6 linked regions of the Callithrix jacchus genome follow. The protein of the gene in region 6 interacts with the protein of the main gene of each other region in a pairwise test. Links are inferred from orthologs where the notes say so. Each region holds a gene or a part of one and is shown on either strand. Other genes may lie near its edges.

The links.
Region 1: the proteins of MED4 (region 6) and TXLNA interact in binary tests that used the Homo sapiens proteins (3 or more experiments, as listed by UniProt). The two-hybrid records come from large-scale screens. The link is inferred for Callithrix jacchus from reciprocal best matches to the Homo sapiens genes MED4 and TXLNA.
Region 2: the proteins of MED4 (region 6) and KIFC3 interact in binary tests that used the Homo sapiens proteins (3 or more experiments, as listed by UniProt). The two-hybrid records come from large-scale screens. The link is inferred for Callithrix jacchus from reciprocal best matches to the Homo sapiens genes MED4 and KIFC3.
Region 3: the proteins of MED4 (region 6) and TNFAIP8 interact in binary tests that used the Homo sapiens proteins (3 or more experiments, as listed by UniProt). The two-hybrid records come from large-scale screens. The link is inferred for Callithrix jacchus from reciprocal best matches to the Homo sapiens genes MED4 and TNFAIP8.
Region 4: the proteins of MED4 (region 6) and USHBP1 interact in binary tests that used the Homo sapiens proteins (3 or more experiments, as listed by UniProt). The two-hybrid records come from large-scale screens. The link is inferred for Callithrix jacchus from reciprocal best matches to the Homo sapiens genes MED4 and USHBP1.
Region 5: the proteins of MED4 (region 6) and AMOT interact in binary tests that used the Homo sapiens proteins (3 or more experiments, as listed by UniProt). The two-hybrid records come from large-scale screens. The link is inferred for Callithrix jacchus from reciprocal best matches to the Homo sapiens genes MED4 and AMOT.

The regions. Positions count from the first base shown.
Region 1 is NC_133508.1:68,792,915-68,796,414, forward strand, and holds part of TXLNA (alpha-taxilin), read left to right. Parts: intron 1-908; coding exon 909-1,079; intron 1,080-3,500. UniProt on the Homo sapiens protein: May be involved in intracellular vesicle traffic and potentially in calcium-dependent exocytosis in neuroendocrine cells.
Region 2 is NC_133521.1:15,646,606-15,650,105, forward strand, and holds part of KIFC3 (kinesin-like protein KIFC3), read right to left. Parts: intron 2,566-3,500; coding exon 2,435-2,565; intron 1,977-2,434; coding exon 1,853-1,976; intron 1,612-1,852; coding exon 1,482-1,611; intron 1,398-1,481; coding exon 1,168-1,397; intron 832-1,167; coding exon 697-831; intron 242-696; coding exon 133-241; coding exon of another isoform or gene 17-132; exon of another isoform or gene 1-16. UniProt on the Homo sapiens protein: Minus-end microtubule-dependent motor protein. Involved in apically targeted transport. Required for zonula adherens maintenance.
Region 3 is NC_133503.1:90,197,064-90,200,563, forward strand, and holds part of TNFAIP8 (tumor necrosis factor alpha-induced protein 8), read right to left. Parts: intron 121-3,500; coding exon 1-120. UniProt on the Homo sapiens protein: Acts as a negative mediator of apoptosis and may play a role in tumor progression.
Region 4 is NC_133523.1:15,865,003-15,869,137, forward strand, and holds the start of USHBP1 (harmonin-binding protein USHBP1), read right to left. Parts: upstream 2,801-4,135; 5' UTR 2,726-2,800; intron 2,405-2,725; 5' UTR 2,357-2,404; coding exon 2,303-2,356; intron 2,209-2,302; coding exon 2,060-2,208; intron 1-2,059.
Region 5 is NC_133524.1:109,163,941-109,168,089, forward strand, and holds the start of AMOT (angiomotin), read right to left. Parts: upstream 2,801-4,149; 5' UTR 2,420-2,800; intron 1,321-2,419; exon of another isoform or gene 1,192-1,320; intron 1-1,191.
Region 6 is NC_133502.1:67,854,617-67,858,116, reverse strand, and holds part of MED4 (mediator of RNA polymerase II transcription subunit 4), read right to left. Parts: intron 1,860-3,500; coding exon 1,802-1,859; intron 345-1,801; coding exon 258-344; intron 1-257. UniProt on the Homo sapiens protein: Component of the Mediator complex, a coactivator involved in the regulated transcription of nearly all RNA polymerase II-dependent genes.

The sequences.
Region 1 (3,500 bases), on a different chromosome or scaffold from region 6:
AAATATATATATATATTTTTTTTCTTTTCCTCCTAGCTTAATTTTAGTTATATATATAACTAAAGTTAATTTCACCGTTTCTTTTTACTTTTTTATTGTGGCCAGTAGACTATTTTTAATTACTTACATGGTTTAATTATATTTCTGCTGTACAGGCCTGGATTCTACTAAAAATACAAAAATTAGCCAAGTGTGCTGGTGCATGCCTATAATCCAGCTACTCAGGTGGCTGAGGCATGAGAATCCCTTGCACCCAGGAAGCTGAGGTTGCAGTGAGCTGAGATTGCACCACTGCATTACAGCATGGGCAACAGAGTGAAACACTGTCTTAAAAAAAAGTAGTGGCCAGGAGGGTTCATGGAAGTGGGGGAAAAGGACTGGGTTTGTGGAAGAGGTGAAGAACTGTGAGGCCAGGGAGTCAGAAGGATTGTCTGTTGATACCGAAGTGGCCACAAATGAGAAAAGTAATTATGTTGGGAAAGGCGCTGGTGCTAACCCAGTGCTAACGTTTTGAAGGAATGAGAGGGAGCAATGGGGGTCTGTTAATGGGCACAAGGTAGAGTAGCAGGTGGTCTCATTCTTGGGCATGAGTGTTCAGCAAATTGGGGAAATGCAACAGCCTGAAGTGGCTCTAGTGGCCCAGAGTCAGAGCTGTAATAGGAATTGGCACTTGCTGGCTGTGTGGCCCCTGCTTGCCCTTCTCTCTCCCTACGGTTGACCCTTTGGGGTTATTGTGAGCAGTTCATGGGAGAAGTATATAAGTGCCAGCACAGCATCAGCCCATGACAGCACTCATGGCCTGAGAGGGTGCAGGGCAGAGCAGCTCAGGAGACCCTAGACCCCCGTAGTGATCCCCACCAGGAAGGCCCCACATGATGCTCACCTGCCCTCCTTATCCCTGTCCCCAGCTGGAGGAGCACCGGAACTCACAGAAGCAGATGAAGCTCCTGCAGAAAAAGCAGAGCCAGCTGGTACAAGAGAAGGACCACCTGCGTGGTGAGCACAGCAAGGCTGTCCTGGCCCGTAGCAAGCTTGAGAGCCTGTGCCGTGAGCTGCAGCGGCACAACCGCTCCCTTAAGGTAGGTGCTGGGCACTCTTGAACAGGTGACTCTGGTTTCCTTGACTTCTGCCTCGTCTTTCTTTCGTGGGCTTTCCTCTTAAAAAGTAGTGCAGAGCGCGGTGGCTCAAGCCTGTAATCCCAGCTCTTTGGGAGGCTGAGGCGGGTGGATCACGAGGTCAAAAGATCGAGACCATCCTGGTCAACATGGTGAAACCCCATCTCTACTAAAAATACAAAAAAATTAGCTGGGCATGGTGGCTCGTGCCTGTAAGGAGGCATGGAGGCTGAGGCAGGAGAATTGCCTGAACCCAGGAGGCGGAGCTTGCGGTGAGCCGAGATCGTGCCATTGCACTCCAGCCTGGGTAACGAGCGAAACTCCATCTCAAAAAAAAAAAAGTAGTGCAGGCTAGGGCTGGGCTTAGTGGTCCATATAAGTAATTAAAAATCTGGCCACTCTAAAAAACTAAAAAGAAACGACTAAAACTAATTTTAGTAATATATTTATTTATACTATCCAAAACACTACAATTTTAACGTGGAATACTGTAAAAAAGCAAGGCTGGGCATGGCGACTCACACCTATAATCTCAACACCTTGGGAGGCCAAAGTCATGGATCACTTGAGGCCAGGAGTTTGAGACCAACCCGCCCAACATGGCACAACCCCATTCTACTAAAAATACAAAAATTAGCCAACTATGCTGGTGCATGCCTATAATCCAGCTACTCAGGTGGCTGAGGCACAAGAATCCCTTGCACCCAGGAAGCTGAGGTTGCAGTGAGCCGAGATTGCATCACTGCATTACAGCATGGGCAAGCAACAGAGTAAGACACTGTCTCAAAAGAAGTAGTGGCCAGGCACAGTGGCTTACACCTATAATCCCAGCACTTTGGGAGCCCAAGTCAGGCAGTTCGCAAAGTCAGGAGTTCGAAACCATCCTGGCCAATATGGTGAAACACTGTATCTACTAAAAATACAAAAATTAGCCGGGCATGGTGGTGGGGACCTGTAGTCCCAGCTACTTAGGAAGCTGAGGCAGGAGAATCACTTGAATCTGGGAGGTAGAGGTTGCAGTGAGCTGAGATTGCAGCCTGGGTGACAGAGCAAGACTCTGTCTCAAAATAAATACATAAATAAATAATTTTTAAAAATAGTGCAGGGTTGTGGCATAGAAATACAATTTCTCAATAATGCCTTATATTAGAGAGCACTACTTGTAACCATTTGAAATGTATTAGGTAAGGATAAAGTGCTAAGAGAATCCATAATTCACTGGCATCAATATTTCTCAATGAAAGGCAGTCCCCTAGTAAACGGAGGTCTGGCCCTGACAAGCAGCTCTTGTTCCAGAGGTTGGTCAGTCAGGAACCTGGGTCTTTCCAACGTTCTGCTGCCTTTATAGTGAGGGCAGTCTGTGGTCACAGGAAATTTACATACATTCTTCTAACTTTCCTTTTATTTTTTGTATTTTTTTTTTTTTTTTTTTTTGAGACTGAGTTTCACTATTGTCACCCAGACTGGAGTGCAATGGCATGATCTCGGCTAACCGCAACCTCTGCCTTCTGGGTTCAAGCAATTCTCCTGCCTCAGCCTCCCGAGTAGCTGGGACTACAGGCGTGCACCACCATGCCCAGCTAATTTTTGTATTTTTAGTAGAGACGGGGTTTTACCTTGTTGACCAGGATGGTCTTGATTTCTTGACCTTGTGATCTACCTGCCTCGGCCTCCCAAAGTGCTGGGATTATAGGCGTGAGCCACCGCGCCCGGCCCTAACTTTCCTTTTAATATGTAAAAATCTTACATGATTTTTTTTAGTTTCTAGCATGAAATTATACATGTACCATTTAATATCCTATTTTTTTTTCACTTTACATAGCGTATCCCTATCCGTTTGTGTGGAGCTATCTTCACTCTTTTTTTTTTTCTTTCTTTTTTTTTTTTTTTGAGACAGAGTCTTACTCTCGTCGTCCACACTGAAGTGCAATGGCATGGTCTTGGTTCACTGCAACCTCTGCCTCCTGGGTTCAGTGGATTCTCCTGTCTCAGCCCCCTGAGTAGCTGGGATTGCAGGCACCCGCCACCACACCCGGCTAATTTTTTTGTATTTTTAATAGAGACGGGGTTTCACCATGTTGGTCAGGCTGGCTTGACCTTCAGACCCTGTGATCTGCCCACTTTGGCCTCCCAAAGTACTGGAATTACAGGCGTGAGCCACTGTGTCCAGCCTTATCTTCACTCTTTTTAATAGCTTAACATCAGTATATGGATACATTATATTTCATCAGTGCCCTAGTTAAGACATTTTTGGGTTGTTCACCATTTTTCACTATTACATATAGAACTACAGTGAAAATTCTTGTTATATTTATTTATTGCTGGTCAGTTATATAGAACTTGCCTGTAGGATAAGTAATGGAAGTAAAATGGCTAGGTCAAAGT
Region 2 (3,500 bases), on a different chromosome or scaffold from region 6:
ACAGATTCTGGAAAAGTCATAGAACTTTTTTAAAAGGAAAGGAAAAAAAAAGCCCATCAGGTAAAGGCAGCCTGGTGACTATAATCCTGGGGGAGACTCCCCCTCCCACCCTGCTACTCCCTCCAGACTCACCCGAGGGCTGCAGCTTCCTCCGGATGGAGCCAGGGCGGCTACTGGTCCCGGAGCTGGGGGCTGAGTGGGCCCGTGCCGAGGGCTGTGGTATCTGACTAGCCGGCTCCCACTGTGGACAGGGAAGGGAGGGTAGGTGGGGGCCACAGCTGCCCTGGCCCGCACCCCGCTGTGCTGCTCTCTCCTCCCCTGCCCTGCCTCCTAACCTCCGAACACTCAGCTTCCTCATCTGCAAAATGGGCAGGATGCTCGTGCCCCAGCCTCATGTTATGTCAAGAATTAAATGAGATAGTACATGTAAAGAAGTCAACTAGTTACCACTTAGCACCTAGTGCCACGCCCATGGCCAGCTGGTCACCCCACAGGAGCCCTGGAGGCCAAGAATAAATACCTGCACTGAAGAGGCTTCTGGCTGTGGGTTCCAGCTGTAGCTCCACCCACCTCCGGCAGCTTCACCCCGCCCCACCCTGCTGCTCTGGGATGTTTCCGCCCAGCTCCCTGCTCCTGCCATGATCCAAAGTCTCTGACCCAGGGCTACCTGAGCCAGGTCTCTGGCAGTCCCCGTACCTCTAGATGCTCCTGGCTTGACCAGGACCCAAGCTCTGCCCTGCGTAGCCCGGGCCCCAGCTCCACAGAGCGCACCCGCTCAGCAAACTTGAGGGAATAGAGTGTCTCACTGGTGTTCTTCTCCACTGGGGACACCTAGAGGACACAAGAGCTCACTGCCCACCTGGGCCAGCTGGAGGGGCAGCAGGGTCACAAGGGAGCTCACAGCTGGAGACGTCAGAAGGCCTCCTGGAGAGGACCGAGGGACAGGGTAGGAGGGCAGGCAAGGTGGCAGAGGTGGCGTGGTCAAAGGTGGAGAGGAGGGACTGGGAGTTACACCAGGTGTGTGTGGCCAGGTCTGGGGCAGGGGGGCTGTTGCTGACTCTGGAGCTGCTGAGACAAGGGTCCTTCACAGCCTGGGGTGCCTGGGTCTTGCTGCTAGCTAAGTACCTACACGCCAGGGACTGCTCCCTTCTAACCCAAGGCCCTCACCTGTACCACCATGAGGGTCTTGCTGTCACCACTAAGCGAATCCTGCAGCAGGTAAGTGAGCTTGGAGTTGCGGAAGGGCACATGGCCCTGGCGGGAGCGCAGGGCAGCAATGACGTCCCCCAGAGCTGACAGTGACTTGTTGATGTGCTGCGCCTCCCGCAGACGGCTGCCTTCGGCTCCGGACTTGCCCACACGCTCGGACCCAGCCAAGTCCACTAGGTTCAACTTCCCTGCAGGGAAGGCACCAAGCAGATCAGACCTGCCCTGTCCCTGGGGGCATGGGGCTCCTCAGGCCAGGCTGCCCGCCCCCTCACCCGTGGTACGGAGGCCTGTGCTGCAGTCCACGCCTCGCACCGTCACGATGAGCAGCGCGTGCGAGCGGGAGCTGTGCTCATTCAGGTTGGTGAACTCCGTTGTGCGGTTGGTGTGGCCAAACTCAAACACCTGGGGGATGGGGAGTGGGAGGGTGAGGCACGGCGCTGAGAATGTGGTCCTCAGTCACCTGGCCCCGAGCACCCCAGAGGAGTGACACCCCCACCCCCGCAGTTTAGACGAGGAAACAGGCTCAGAGGGGCATGGGCACTTGCCCGAGGGTGCATGCTTAGGACACAGCAGAGCCTACATTCAAATCCAGGTCTTCCCTCTAGAGCAGCGTGGCTGTGGCCAGGGGCCCGCTCCTCCACACCTTGTTGATGTCGTCCACGCTCTGCACCTGGAACTCAGTCAGCCCTGGCACATACAGCTGCCCACTGCCGTCTGGGCACAGCCGGATCTCCAGTTTTTCCTGAGGCTCTTTCCCCAGCAGGTCCCTGGAGGGGCAGGTGAGACAGTCACCCCCTCCTCCCATTTCTGGCTGCTGCTTGTACTGCACCCAGAGCCCCAGTCAGGAGTGTTCCCCCAACCTACAAAGCCTTCTTCAGCCATCAGCTAAGCGCATATCCTCCAGCTCCTCCCCCATAACTCAGCTGAACATGTGGAGACCTCACTGTTGCCCAGAAGGCCTGTGGATGGCGCTACTCCTGCCTCCGAAATGCAATGAGCCCCTGCGGGCAGGGCCTGCAGCTGCCCACTCCCACCCATGGCCACCTGCTGCAGCCCACAGGGAGGAGAGTCACAACTTGCAGCTAGGTCCCTTGGCAGCCTCATCTGGTCCCTGCACTCCCTTCAGGAAGACCCCACTTCCTATCTCCCGTTACTCCAGCACCACCCCACCTGAGGACCCCAAAGCTGCCCCTGAGGCCTACTCCCCTCACACTGGGGCTCCTACCTGAGGACCTCGTTGTAGATCTCGGCGGCGCTGACAGTGATGGTGTACTCCCAGTCGGATGCCTTCTCCTGCACCTCGGAGAAGAGCAGCTGCAGGGCCCGCTGGTTGATACCTGGGTTCTCTGGGGTCCCCTGGGGGCAGAAGGAAAGGCCCCAGTGAGCCAGGCCTGTCCCCAAAGATGCTTGTGTGGCATCTGTCCCCCAAGCCCTTTGGCTATCCCTCACAGGCAAGTCTCCTTGCCCAAACCTCCTACCTACAAGCCAGTGCCCCCCAAAATGCCCTCTGCCAGCTGCAGGCTATTGTGCCTCTATTTCCCCGACATTAAAATGGCATCACCCTGCCAGGACTGCCCTGAGACTTAGGGTACAGCGCTGGGGTGAGGGACCTGGCCAGACCACACAGACAGCTGAGGGACAGGTGCATGCCTGGCCCTGCAGGGCCACCTAGAAGGGGCACTAGAAATGAATGATCCCGCCTCTGCCCAGAAAGGGGCTGAGTCTCAGGGAGGCTGTGACCTGGGTTCTGTGGGTGATGGAAAGGAGGCACAGGTGGAGCAGGACAGGGTCCTGGGGCAGGAGGGGTGGGCTGGCCTTTCTAGAAGGAAACCTGGAGTCCCCACCTGGGCCCTCAAGGCCCTGGGAGTTGGACCCTCGCCCCTCCTCCGACAGCACCTCCCACCCTCTCTCTATTCCTGCCGCAGGGGCCTCCTGGCCAAGCCTCAGGTGCGGCTGGTGTGCTCTGGCCTCTTGGCCTTGGCCCTGCAGCTCCCTCTGCCCCAGGTGCTCCTGTTTGCCCCTCGGCCAGCTCAGTCATCTCCCTCAGGGAGGCTGCTCCCAAGATGCCCCCTCAGGGAGGCTGTTCCTTCGTCCAGCACCCCCAAACACCCCGTCCCTTCCCCTTGTCAGTTCCACATCCCTGGTTTTATTTTTCTCCATGGCCTGACGGGACACTCACTGATTTGTGTGGACCCTGCTGTCTCCCCATAGCCAGGTTGGTCCTGTGGGGCCAGGGACTGTTTGGGTCACAGCCATGCCTGGCACAGTGCCTGGTACACTTCAGGCCTCAG
Region 3 (3,500 bases), on a different chromosome or scaffold from region 6:
GCACCTCACTGCTCGTGTCATCTATTAAGGTGGTGGCAATGGATTTGGACACCATTTTACCCAAGATCTTCTTTTGTGCCTGAACAGCCAGGTTTTTGGAATTAAAGACATCTGTGGCCACTAAAAAAAAAGGAGAGGAAAAGAATTAACAATCAGCAAACATCAGCAAGAGAAGTGAACTAAAAACACATATTAGGGAGTACTGTTTTTCCTCGTTTTCCCACCATTTGTGATTTGTCTTTCATCCATTGACATTAGTCTCTGTTCAGAAAAGAATTTTAGGCTGGGCACAGTGGCTCACGCCAGTAATCCCAACATTTTGGGAGGCTGAGCTGGGCGGATCACTTGAGGTCAGAAGTTTGAGACCAGCCTGGCCAACATGGGAGCAGTGGTACATGCCTATAATCCCAGCTACTTGGGAGGCTGAGGCAGAAGAATTGCTTGAACCCAGGAGGTGGAGGTTGCAGTGAGCTGAGTTTGCTCCACGGCACTTTAGCTTGGGTGACACAGCGACACTACTGTCTCAGAACAAAAAACAAATACAAAATCAGCTCTACACCTGTCATCTGGCAACAGCAACCAGAAGTGACTTAAAAGGAATTCATTTAAATGGAAGAATAAATGGTAAAGGCATAATATTGAATAAAATGGCAAATTCATGGAAGCAAATCAAAAGGAGAGCCCTGTTTTATAATGCAGTTGCAAAAAGTCAAATTTCTTAAGCATTGACCAACGCCCACCTATTTGTCCTAACCACCTTGAGTTTCAACCTACAGAATTTGACTGTTAGAAAGAAGTACTCCTTGGAGAGCTCACTGTCACTTACTATTTCTGATGAATGGTCATTGTTCACTTTACATTTTTATATGTTTTGGAGAAATAACCTTTTTCATCAGCTAGTGAAATGTGACACATGAGAAATATACTTTGAAAAAGATGTTGCTAAGAGTTTGCTTTTGGAATTATCGTAACTTCTGACAGATCTTTACAATATACACAATCATGTTTGTACGTATCATATAAAAGAGACACTATTTATAATCTTCCTAGCCTAGAGCTGGTTAGTGAAAATGCTCAATAAATGTGTATTCTCCAAACCAAGTTTACATTTTATCTACCACAATTTCCCCCACTCTATGCATGTAGCAATCTTTTTTGCTTTCTTCTTTTTTGAGATAGAGTTTTGCTCTTGTTCCCCCAGGCTGGAGTCCAATGGCACAACCTTGGCTCACTGCAACCTCCGCCTCCTGGGTTCGCTTGCCTCAGCCTCCCGAGTAGCTGGGATTTCAGGTGTGTACCACCATGCCCTGCTAATTTTGTATTTTTAGTAGAGATGAGGTTTCACCATGTTGGCCAGGCTGGTCTCGAACTCCTGACCTTGGGTGATCTGCCCACCTCAGCCTTCCAAAGTGCTGGGATTACAGGTATGAGCCACTGTGTCTGCCCCATGCAGCAATCTTTAAGCTAATCCTCTACAACTGTGCTCTCTCCTGCTTCTCCAAAGGCTTAAGAACTGCAGTTCTTTGGGTGTCTACTCCATCTCTGAGTCAAGGGACAACTGTTCTCTCCATATATGCCAGTGTTTAAGCCTAGGCCTGGGTGTTGGAAAGCAGTCATTTTGTAATGAAAGATAAAAAGCTTTAAAATACAGATATACACAAATAGGTCAAGGCATCAATGATAATATAAGATTATTTCTAGTTTGGATAGGCTAGTATCATTAGGAAGCAAAAAGGCAGCTGCTTCAAAATCCAGGCTGGGAGGACATATAAGAAGAGTGACTCCCTTAATGCGGAACTGCCATGTTGGATTTAACATTGGGGAAAGGTGAGGTGTGGTGGCTCACACCTACAATCCCAGCACTTTGGCAGGCCAAGGTAGTGAGAGGATCGCTTATGCCCAGGAGTTTGAGACCAGCATGGGCAACATAGCAAAACCCCATCGTGACAAAAAAACTACACACACACACACACAAAAATTAGCCAACTGTGGTGGCATGCACCTGTCGTCCCAGTTACTAGGGAGGTGTAGGTGGGAGAATCATCTGAGCCTGGAAAGTTCAGGCTGCAGCGACCCGTGACTACACCACTGCACTCTAGCCTGGGCAACAGGGTGAGACCCTGTCTCAGAAAAAATTGAATTAAATAAAATTGAGGAAAAGAAGAACCAAATTAAGTTTGAAAAATTTGGACCAAAGTAGTTCATGGTATATAGTATAGGTAGCTCAAAAGGGTTCCTTATGACCCGAGTGTCATTTATAAATGTACAGTGCCAGACATCCTCTAAAAGAATGTCTCAGTTAAATGAGAAAGGGTGTCTTCACAAATGTCGATATTTAAACTTCTGAAACATGAACTGAAACTGCAGAACTAAAATATATTTTGAAAAAGAGAAGGAAAGTGAAAATGTGTGAGAAACAGCCAACTTCATGCAGAAGTTTCCAGGCCCTTTTATGTTTTTATCATTTAAGCAGAAGTCCGTTTCTATTCCTGTTCTTCAACGACTTGCAAAAGAGTTTAAAGATTAAGTCACACTAAAGAATTTATGTCAAAAGAAATAGTACACATGTAGCTAACTTATCATATTAAAACCAGGGACCATCTTTCATCTCAGAACTCCTGACACAGACCTCAAAAAAAAAATTCAACAAACTTGATTTATATAGGGATACCCAATCAATTTCAGCTGCACAGCAAATAACTAGGATTTCAGTAATATATTCCATATAAAGTCGAAATGTTACTGTGTTTTTAATGTTTAAGAACATGGCATAGTCTACAAATATCTTACCTGGGATTTACTACAAGTCTATCAGTTGGACATACTTTATGTTGTGAAATACTGAAAACAGAGGGAGAGGTATTCATACTATTTCTCCTTTATCCAAGGCTGGACTTTCAAGTTTGCACCTCTTCTCAGCTAAGTTTCTGATTAAATCTCAATGTCTCATTTAACTTCAAATATGGAAAACAAAACCTCTATGATATAGCACTTCAAATTCCTGCAAGAGAGTGTGTAAAAGGCATATCTATTGCCAACTAAGCAAGATCATTCCCCATTTACTGGTAATCATGTATGAATCAAGATAGAGAAGTTGATCTCTGAGGCTTTCATATTTGTCTTAGAGAAACTTCAAATCCTGCTCCAGAAACACAGCAGCTCTGTCACACTTTCCTTTTATCCTTTGTATTATTCCAGTGAAGTCACCTTTTTAAGTGAGGTTGAAGCTCTTTGTCCCCCTCCACCATCTGAAGCTCTTCTCCTCCTCCACCAAGAACATGCATGAGTAGATTTATTTTCCAGCATTAGAGAAAGCTTTTCTGGAGCCAACCGGGACCTGTGGCTGAGAGTCACTGGCCAGGGATGTGTGGTCTGTGCTCATGAAGTGTGTTTCTTTTTCTTGCAAATTAACTGCTGTTAGCCATTCCTGTTCAGGCTCATTTGTCACTTCCACATACTCCACCAGATCCCTTAAAGGTCTGTTGTATCTTAGAGCTAGT
Region 4 (4,135 bases), on a different chromosome or scaffold from region 6:
TCTCCTGCCTCAGCTTTCTGAGTAGCTGGGATTACAGGCGCCCACCACCATGCCCAACTAATTTTTATATTTGTAGTTGAGACAGGGTTTCACCATGTTGGTCAGGCTGGTCTTGAACACCTGATCTAGTGATCTGCCCACCATGGCCTCCCAAAGCGCTGCAATTTCAAGCATGAGCCACCATGACTGGCCACGAATAATAATAATAATAATAATTATTATTATTATTATTTTTGAGATGGAGTTTTGCTCTTGTTACCCAGGCAGTGGCGCAATCTTGGTTCACTGCAACCTCCGCCTCCTGGGTTCAGGCAATTCTCCTGCCTCAGCCTCCTGAGTAGCTGGGATTACAGGCACGCACCACCATGCCCAGCTAATTTTTTATATTTTTAGTAGAGACAGGGTTTCACCATGTTGACCAGGATTGTCTTTTTTTTTTTTTTTTTTTGAGACGGAGTTTCGCTGTTGTTACCCAGGCTGGAGTGCAATGGCACGATCTCGGCTCACCGAAACCTCCGCCTTCTGGGTTCAAGCAATGCTCCTGCCTCAGCCTCCCAAGTAGCTGGGACTACAGGGGCGCACCACCATGCCCAGCTGATTTTTGTATTTTTAGTAGAGACGGGGTTTCACCTTGTTGACCAGGATGGTCTCGATCTCTTGACCTCGTGATCTACCCGCCTCAGCCTCCCAAAGTGCTGGGATTATAGGCGTGAGCCACCATGCCCAGCCTGAATTATTTTTTTTTTAAGATGGAGTCTCACTCTGTTGCCCAGCCTGGAGTGCAGTGGCGCGATCTCAGCTCACTGCAACCTCCGCCTCTTGGGTTCAAGCGACTCTACTGCCTCAGCCTCCAGAGTAGCTGGGATTACGGGCACCCACGACCATGCCCGGCTAATTTTTGTATTTCTAGTAGAGACGGGGTTTCTCCACGTTGGCCAGGTCTCAAACTCCTGACCTCAGGTGATCCGCGTGACTTGGCCTCCCAAAGTGCTGGGATTACAGGCGTGAGCCACCGTGAGTGGCCCTGGGCAGGGAATTCTGGGGGCTTAGACTTCATGGTCTTGGGAAGGTGTGAGCGGGGCAGAGAGTTGGCAAGAGCTGTGTGTTCTGGGACTGGCATCCCAGGGTGAGACTGGGGGGCTGGGAATTCAGGGAAGAGGCTGGATAGAGGGGTGGAGGAACTGCGGGGGGAGACCTGGGCCTGAGACGGAGAGTGCAGAGTAAACTGGAGTGTGACAGGCACTGGGGAAGGCCTGGGGGTGAGAGACAGAAGGTTCTGGAAATGGGGTCTTTTGGGGCGGCAGCTCACACTTGTAATCCCGACACTTTTGGAGGCCCAAGTGAGCAGATCACTTGAGATCAGAAGTTCAAGGCCAGCCTGGCCAACACAGTGAGACCCTGTCTTTATTTAGCCTGCGTGGTGGCGCATGCCTGTAATCCCAGGTACTCGGGAAGCTGAACTCGGAAGGCAGAGGTTGCTGTGAGCGGAGATCGCACAACTGCACTGCAGCCTGGGCAACAGAGCATGACTCAAAAACACAGAAAGAGAGAAAGAGACAAAGAGAGAAAAAGAGAAAGAAAGAAAAAAGAAGGAAAGAAAGGAAGGAAGGAGGAAGAAAGAAGGAAAGAAATAAGACAAAGAAAGAAAGAAAAGAAAGAAAAAAGAAGGAAAGAAAGAGGAAGGAAAAAAGGAAGGAAGGAGAAAGAAATAAAAGAAAAAGAAATAAGCCGGGCGTGGTGGCTCCAAATACAAAAAATTAGCTGGGCATAGTGGCGCGTGCCTGTAATCCCAGCTACTCAGGAGGCTGAGGCAGGAGAATTGCCTGAACCCAGGAGGCGGAGGTTGCAGTGAGCCGAGATTGCACCATTGCACTCCAGCCTGGGTGACAAGAGCGAAACTCCGTCTCAAAAAAAAAAAAAAAAGAAGGAAAGAAAGTCAGTCAGGCTGAGGGCAGTAGGGAGCCATGACAAGTGAGTGAGCAGAGGAGGTGCACCAGACCTGTAGGGGCCAAAGATGCATCTGGACTGGACTGAAGGGCATAGACCAAGTGGGTCTTACCTGCTTTCTAGGCTTCGGCCACTGACCTCCTCAATGGGGCCCAGGTGCTCTGGCCCAGAGCTCCCCAGAGGTGGGGTAAGGCTAGGCTTGGAGCTCCCACCGGCTGCTTCACCCTCCTCTGAACTCTCAGCCACAGGGTCCAGTTCACCCTGCAAAGGACCCCCGGGGCCCAGCTCTGAGCGAGGCAGGACAGGACCTTGGCATCCCAAGGAGCTGGGTGTGGAGGGGAGAGGGGACACTTACGGGTGGAACATGCCTCCCTCGCCGGCTTCGGGGCCGCGTGGCCCGGGCACTCATTGCTGTCCAGAAGCCAGTGCCCTCTGAATGCTTCTCCTTCGTCGCCCCCTAAAACCACAACCTGCTGTGAGCTCTTGCCTTCGTCATCCAGGACAAAGGACAACCTCAATTTCCTCTGCAGTGAAATGGGGCATTGACTACCCCTCTAGAAGGGATTTTGGAATCAAGGTTGATTGGGCACATTTGAATGCCTCCCTGGACAGGCAGCTCACTACCTAACAAGGCTGTCCTGACCTCCCCCTTCTCTGCCTTCTTGACCCTCACTACCTCTTTGTCCCCTTCCCTCTTCTGTTTGTGCCTGAGAAGGAAACCTCAAGAATTCCCTCTTTTCCCCAGGCCCTCCTAAATGAGGGGTTCAGCTCTCTCTACCTCTCTGATCCTCTGGGGTTAACTTGATCAGAGGCCTGAGTCCCTGGATACTCTCTTGGGGTCACTTTGGCCACTGCCTGTTCAGGCCTGGGCTGGCCAAGCTTGGCCTAGGAGGGGCCAGGAAACAGGAAACTCCCTCCCCTGGTCACATGACTTGTTATTGTGTTGTTTCCTTTCTGAGGATAGTGGTTTCCTGCAGCCCTAGCGGGGCACGCACACCTGACTCCCAAGGTTTCAGCCCCCCTCATCTCAGCCTCCAAGCCCATGGCCCTTCCATCTCTCTCTTTTTTTTTTTTTTTTTTGAGACAGGGTCTCGCTTTATCTCCCAGGCTGAAGTACAGTGGTGTGATCTTGGCTCACTGCCACTTCTGCCTCCCAGGTTCAAGCCATTCTCCTGCCTCAGCCTCCCAAGTAAATGGAATTACAGGCACCCGCCACCACACACAGCTGATTTTGTATTTTTAATAGAGGGGGGGCGGTTCCTCTGTGTTGGTCAGGCTGGTCTCGAACTCCTGACCTCAGGTGATCTGCCAACCTCAGCCTCCCAAAGTGCTGGGATTACAGGTGTGAGCCACTGTGCCCGGCCCACCTCTGACTCTTGGATTTTATTTCTCAAGAGCTAGGGTGGGTCAAGCACCAAGGCTCACACCTGTAATCCCAGCACTCTGGAAAGCTGAGGCGGTCGATCACTCGAGCCCAAGTGTTTGAGATCAGCTTCAGCAACATGGCGAGACCCCTGTCTCTACAAAAATTACAAAAATTTGCCAGGAGTAGTGGCGTGCAGTAATAGCCTGTAGTTCCAGCTATTTGGGAGGCTGAGGCAGGAGGATGGCTTAACACCTGGAGGCGGAGGCTGCAGTGAGCCGTGGTCACGCCACTTCACTCCAGTCTGGGTAAAAAGGCTGGGCGCGGTGGCTCAAGCCTGTAATCCCAGCACTTTGGGAGGCCGAAGCGGGTGGATCACGAGGTCAAGAGATCGAGACCATCCTGGTCAACATGGTGAAACCCCGTCTCTACTAAAAATACAAAAAATTAGCTGGGCATGGTGGCGCGTGCCTGTAATCCCAGCTACTCAGGAGGCTGAGGCAGGAGAATTGCCTGAACCCAGGGGGCGGAGGTTGTGGTGAGCCGAGATGGCGCCATTGCACTCCAGCCTGGGTAACAAGAGCGAAACTTCGTCTCAAAAAAAAAAAAAAAGAAAAGAAAAGAAATAGTCTCCCAGCAAGGCAGTTTACGTCTACAGAAGGGTGTGGCTCACGGATGGAGCAATGGTGGCCGCACACTTGGACAAGGGGAGAAAGGGTGCCTGTGCCTGATGGGGGTCGCCCCTACTGCTGTGTCGTTCCGCTCTTGGCTAGGGTTAGACCGTGCAAGCTAACTAAATCCCGATTGGCTATTTTAAAGAGAGCA
Region 5 (4,149 bases), on a different chromosome or scaffold from region 6:
GCAAAGGACAATTTCTACCAGACAGTCCCCAAGAATAGACTGTTCTCATGCATTCCAAATGCTCAGTCTCCATGGAGGAGGCTACCTGGTCGCAAGCATTTCCCAAGCGGGAATATATCCTCTATTCCTCCTCACTGGTAACAACTCCCCCACTCCACCCCCACGCCCCAAACAAAACAAAACTTCTAACCATCTTGAGAACCTCAGGGGACTTTTCTGAGGTAAAGGACAAGAAACGTTAAGAGGGGAACAGGAAAGTGTGAGAAACTCCTCTTGTCTCCAAATGGAAAAAAGGCCTTAAAAAGCTGGATCAAAGGAAGAAAGGGGGATGGGGAAGAAGGGCTGCTTAATTACAAAGACACCCTTTTAAAGAAGGCGCAGGCCCTGGGAGAGGGCTCTTAGGAGAGGCACAGAAGCAGATGTACCCACTTAGAATTCTGGCACTCAATGGGACCTCAAGGTCATAGTATCCATCCCCCTGCCTTCTGATTAGGCTATTCTTAAAGCATTCTAGAGTCTGATGTGGTCTTTACAAAACCTCAGAGAAAGCAACTCTACAAATGTCCTAGTTGGGAATTAGTCTAATAAATCCAACTTCATAAACTGGAAATGAGATTTTAATTTCTAAATCCAAAATTGAATTGACTATTAATTATTAAAATTCCCTTTCTAAAATCTTTTAAATAGCTAAACAGATCCACAAATTTCATGTAAAAGTGACTCCACATACAACGAGGTTTACTTCACATCTACACCATGAAGGTAGAAAAAAACACTTTCAATTTTACAAAGCCACAAACTTTTCCAAAGAAAGAAGTAATTTAAAATGAAGTATGATGTCGTGCCAGAAAGTGTCTGTCGATGACACCGGATAAACCCATACAGAATAGCTGGAACCTGAGTTATCATCTGTAAATAGATGCAACTATTCTACAACCACCTGGCTGTTAAAGTGTCCCAGGCCAGTTATAAAATGTAGTTTGGCTAGGCCAGCTTTTCCCTCCCAGCTGATCTGAAACAGGATAGCCTTTAAAACTGTCGCCATGTAACGTTCCTTCTCTACCTTCCTACCTTCCTTTCCCTCATTAAAATCAACCAAAGCTATTTTTAAATGTATGTAAATAATGTGTTCCCAAATAAGCAATGAGTTCAGGACATCACAGAAATAAGTCTTTGAACACCACGACTTACAAGTTTGATGCACTTGTCCAATTGAAGATAGGTGGGAGATGGATGAAAATGTATCCCACATCCAAAATGGCATTTCAAACTATTCTTAGCTACTAAATGAGGGTGCTGAAAGGTCTGAGAAGGCTTCACAAAGGCTGGCCTGAGAAAGAACTTTTCACAAAGCCTAGCTCAAGGAGACTTAAATACCCTTAGCCCTTCATCATTGAAGATTATGGTGACTAATTATCTTCCTCTCTGAATGGGAGAAGAGGGTTATATTCATAAAAGTTTTAAACTGCCTCCCAACTTCCACGGAGGGAGGAGAACTGAACTAAACATCCTAGGTTGTTGAAAAATTCTTTCTAAAACATACGCTAGAGATTGAAAATGCTGTTTCTCACCAACTTCCTCTTTCCTTGCTCATTTAATCTTATTTAGTCACTTTATGAACATTATTATATTATTATTAGTGGAAATTTACCAGGAACTGCTCATAGTCTATTATAAAGGCGTATTTTTACTCCCACTTTTCTTTCTCTTGATTTTCACATATCCACGAAGTCCATCTTACTGTTGAAGCACCAACGTACAGTGGCCCAGGCTTGGACCCTCAAGACACCTGCCTGATCCCCCAAAACTATTTACTAACATCTTTGGATCTTCTAAAGTAGATAGGGGCAATTCCCTCCTCATGACCACTATCACCACCACCACAAGCACCACCACCACCACACATTTCAAAAAGTAGCCTTATGTTTTAGATTACGCAGACTTTAAAACTTCAAGAATTCACGGTCCTACCCCTCCTTCTCCCGCCTCAGGGAGTGTGAGTCCACACCCCAAGCCTAAGCACTTAGGAGAAACCTATCTAGTTATCTGAGATAAGCACTGACTTGCATGCTAGGCTAAAAGTAGATTTCAGCTTCCCTCGGGTCTTTAGCTCCTCAATGTGATTAATTTCCTAGAGACCCAGAAGAACCCCAGGAGGCAAGGAAGTAAAAATACCATCTAGTAGTGGTACCCACTAGCATCTCCTCACTTAAGCAGGACGGGAAAGCAGCGCACACTCTAACCGATTTAACTTGCTGCACATCCTGAAAAACTCATGGCCAGCTGCAAAGACAGCAGAATACACGGGCATTCTCACACGCGCCTAGATCGATTCACTCACGCCGAGGGCACGACCAAGTTCATGCCACCATGGATTCCTGCCCCAGTTCCCCGCAAAAAGTAACCACACGTCTCCTACCCCTGAAGGCAACGAAGACAAGGTGACGACTCTCTGCTCGCTCAAGTGGCTTCGGTCCCGGGCCAGCGGCCAGGGATGGGCAGGGGGGAAGCCCCAACTCCTGGCTGCTCCCCTCTTCGCTGCTCCGTCCGGGCTCTCCTTGGTGGCAGTGGACAGGCAGGATACCGGGCCAGAGGGTGGAGCAGCGGATGGTCGGAGGCGAGATTGACTGGAGGTGGTGGTAGTTGGAGGGGGAGGCGGAGAGAACTAAGAGAAGAGGAGGCGAAAGAGAGCGGAGACGGAGGAGTAATTCAGGGGGTCTACCAGTTTAGGCAGCCAGAAAGCTCCTCGGAAGGAAGGGGCGTGACTGCCAAGGCAGCTCCTGGGCAAAGGATGGGAGGTAGGGGAGGGGGACGAACGGGTGGCTTTTCTTCTTGCGGTGAGCGGCTAGGACCGCCCCGGAGCGGCAGGGCGGGTGGACTGGGGAGGAAGGCGGAGTAGAGGGCGGGGAAAGAAGGGCGGGAGCTTGCCTGGACCCTGGAAGTGAGGAGCGAGGAGAGCGCGGAAGAGAGGCGGGGCCGGGGGGCGGGGAAGTTTCAAACAATTAAACCGCGGGGTCCGAGAGCTCGGGCGAAAGTTGGGGACCCTCGCTCTCGCCTTTCCACTAGAGGGGCACGACTCGGTTGCCGTAGCCGTGAGAGTCTGCGCGGGGACTGGCTGGGGAGAAGGAAAGGGTTTTGCAAAAGACTACAATAATAACCTACGGCAACAGCGCGGCATACTCGCGTGGGAGAGCCAGTGCAGCTCTCCGCCCCACAGCGGGAGGAAGAAAAGCAAATAATAGAAATGCTGAAAAGCAGCTTCCACCAAAGCCTGCTTAAAATAATGAAGGAAGGAGCAGTGCTCCTTCGTTTTCCTTCCCCTCTCGCTTCCTATTACTAGCAGGCCCCCACCCAGGTCACAGCTCTGCGAGACACCCTCCTTTCTTCCTCCGCTCCCCCACCCCGGGAGTTTCCCCCGCCTCCCGATGGCGGGCTGCAGAAGCTGCGGGGCGAGGGAGGAGGGGGTCGTGGGCGGGGCTCTGCAGAGGCTCCGCCCCTGGGCGGGCTGTTAGATGCGGCCTGGGCGGAGCGGGCCCCTGAAGCGTAAGTCCCGCCCACCATTCTTTTGCCGCTACTGGTTGGCCGGGCCTGGCCTAGTATACGTTTGCGATTGGGCCCGGGAGTCGCCAGTCTGATCCTTTTGTCCCACCAGTCCTCAAAATTAATAAAACTAAACAAGAGGCTATTGTGTAGCTCTATGTTCTACCCCAGCTACCGCTGGGAAGAGAAAGATGAGACGCTTTCTCAGTCTCATAAAAGAGTGCAGCAGTGTGTCGGCCGACTCTGGTACGCCTTTATGTTTATAGCACTGTCCAGCCCTCCACGAATAGGTAACTTTTCTTTCCCCTTAATTCATTAAATCCGGAGGGGGAAAAGTACATGAAGTGCCAGTGTGGCGTTCACATTTCCTGGCTGTGGAAGAAAAAAACTGATATTGGTTAAAAACAGAGGGTTGAGAACAGTATACTGGGACACGGAAAATCTACCATTTTACATCTGGGAAAACGAAGGCACAAAGAAACAGTGTAGGGGTAGCAAAATAACATAGAATTGAGAACCAAAAGAAGAATTCATTTGGGGCTCTGGCACTTACTAGCTAATTGTATGACTAATGTTAGGTGGCTTAACTTCTCAGCCTTAATTTTTCTA
Region 6 (3,500 bases):
TGTACTTTAAAAAAAATCATCAATTTATTATTTCAAAAGAGGAAAGAAACGCAGTGCCTAGCAACAATGGCTTTGTAGGAAACCAAATTTATAAAACCCATGGCCTCTATCATTACTTACAAACCATTAAAAATGTGAAAATATGTAGCAGAGATTTCAAAGCATAAATACATTCTATATTAAATCTATTTCTGTACACAGTCACCTAAGAATTTTCAAAACCACATATATCTAGCATAAAAGAGAAGTATGTTTACCTGGAACCCAGGTTAGGGGAGCACATACAGCATTACTTGCACTGATCCTATGTGCATACTTAATTATTTCTTCAGAGGAAATAGCACCTGAAAGAGTTAAGAGGATAGTATAACCTGTAATCTAACATACAAGTTTAGAAGTATGTATATCAGTTACACATCATATTTACTTTTAAATTATCTGAAAATAAAATAATCTCAGTCACCCGCCTTCCTTAACAATACCTACATATTTAGTATAAACTTAAATCTCCAAAAACAAGATACTAATGCAGAAAAATCAGCTGACATAAACAGTTCTGGGAGATTAGCATGACAGCACTCAATAATCTCAAAATACTATTACTCTTCTGAAAGCAACAGTAAGCACAAATAAAAGAGAAAACAGCGTTTCACTTTGAAATGACATCCAAGCTATGAAATCAGAGCAGACAGTTCACACCACTGTTTGATTAATATGCCGTGAGGCTCTTAAACAGACCTGAGTAGAAAGATGTCTACAATGTCTTCATTAGGTAAAAAAAAAACTATATGGCTAAATAATATGTATGGTATTACCTGACTGTTTAAAATATATGTAAATATGTGTATTTGTATTTTTACTACATACATACTCACAGATCTAGAAGAAAAATCTAGAAGGACATATACCAAACATTAATAGTAGTTACCACCGAGAAGTGAGAACACCACACTTTTTATTTTACAAATTTTAGATACTGTTTCAAAGTAACAAAGTGTATGTGTGTAAAATTTTTGAAGATTAAAAACAAAATCAAACTATGATTTAGAATTCAATAGCCAGCCTCAGTCATCTCTCCTAGAGATTTGTTTCTTGCTACAGAAGCCTAACTTAACTCTTAAGAGAATATTAGCTATTTTTCACATGTAACAATCAAAACATGGGCTCCCTAAAAAGAGGAAAGTTAGACAATAAATCTGAGATGACTAAATGTAAAACCATATCTACAAGTCATTAAAGGCAAGTAACCAAAGTTGTAATTACAATTCTGACCTTTAGTACGACAAACTAACAGGTCAAGTGAGATCCGTAACAGGAGCCTTTGACAGAGGGACAGTAGCGCAGGAAGGCTTGTGGGCCTCTGCACCACTAAATGTACTTACATGCCAAGGTTGTAACTGGCTCTGACTTCATGATGTTTCAGTCCCAGCTCAGTTGTCCAATGGATGTCCTTTCACTCTCTGCCCTAGCCTTCAAGATCTGGTACAAATCCCACTTACAGCCCATATTTCTCTTCCCCTGTCCCACCAATTTTATAAACTTACTGTTTTTACGGCACATTCCGGCCCACAGCAAAAAACTGCCTTGTATTAACTGCTTTTTATAATCTAAAAAAGGATGTCATATTTCTACCTCCCTCACAACACCTACCACAATACGAGAACATAACACACTTTACAAGAAAAATTTATTCAATTTTTTTCAACAGCAGCAAATGATTATCAGTTATATCCTCTCGTATTGGTTTCTTGAAACTAGAACCTTAACTTTTCAGGTAATTCCATCTTCCCATAATACTAACCTTTTCTTGCTTTTTCTATTGACTTGAGTTTCTCCTTTGCTTGGTAAACAGCTGTTGCCTAATTGAAACAACATTTAAAAAAATGTGTTTTATTCTTAACTATATCAAACATAGTTTTTGGCTTAATTCACAAGATCATTTATCCCCTAAGAACAGTCTTCAAAACTTGGAAATTCCCACAATTTATTTGTAATGTTCTATAATATCACTTGACATTATTTATTTCAGTCATATATAATGAAAGAACTATTAATTTATGAACTAGTCTCCCATTCACAAATTAGCTGTAGAAACAAAATATAAATTGTTTACTTTTTCTTCATGTCTTCATAAACATACAGAAGACATCCAGACCATGCAAGACCCCAAAAGCATCCTATTCTTGCAACTAGTTCAAGAATAAAATACCTTTTTTACCCCTAGTTTGGAAGATACAACCTTGGATTCATATTCTTATTCATTTAAATGTCACCTCAATGTTTAATGACTTTATCACAAAAACACCCCCTCTAACCCCCCAGGTACATACACTAAAGGACAAAATGAAGTTAACCTAGTGTATGCATATCCTCGACTATGACACAATGGTTAAGGGTATGGAGTCAGGCCAGGCACAATGGCTCACACCTGTAATCACAGCAGTTTGGGAAACTGAGGCAGGCAGATCATTTGAGGTCAGGAGTTCAAGACCAGCCTGACCAACAGGTAAAACAGCTCTACTAAAAATCCAAAAAAAAAAATTAGCCAGGTGTGGTGGCACACACCTGTACTCTCAACTACTCAGGAGTCTGAGGCAGAAGAACTGCTTGAACCCAGAGGGCAGAGGTTGCAGTGAGCCAAGAATGTGCCATTGTACTCCAGCCTGGGCAACAGAGCAAGACTCTGTCTCAAAAAAAAGAGTATGGTGTCAGAGAGATCAAGGTTTAAATTCAATCTACGTTTTAGCCTTCATGGGCAAGTTAGTTATTAAAGTCTTGGTTTCTTCCTCTAAATAACAACACTGACTTTACATAAACTATTATGAAGATGGAAGTAAAGCATATAAAATGCAAGACACAGGGCCTGGTGCCTAAGCGCTCAATCAATGTTCGTTACTACAATTTAAATCATGAAATTCAATTTTATGATCCTGTGTTCACTGTCTTTAATTCTTTCTTTATAACACAAAGTTGGAAAATTAAACAAAGCAGATACTATTATATGAAAAATGCTTAAGTTTCAATAAACAGTAACTGAAAATCTGTTAGTATCCTTAACTACAATAAGCTAAAAAATGAATACACCAGCAACTCAAAGGAAATAGACCAAACTATGAATAGTGGCATTCTTTAAGCAGCTGAACTAAAGGCAATTGTTTCCCCTCCTCTTTCCATTATTCCGTATTTTCTAAATTTCTTTTGATGAGCAAGTATTACTTTCATAAGGAAAAACATTTTAATATATATATTATTAAATGTATAAATATATATATATTTTGAGACAGAGTCGCACTCTGTCACCCAGACTGGGGTGTAGTGGCACAATCCTGGTTCATCGAAACCTCCGCCTCCCAGGTTCAAGAGATTATCCTGCCTCAGCCTCCTGAGTAGCTGGGATTATAGGCGTGAGCCACCATGCCCAGCTAATTATTTTGTATTTTTAGTAGAGATGGATTTCACCATGTTGGCCAAGCTAGTATCAAACTCCTGACCTCAAGTGA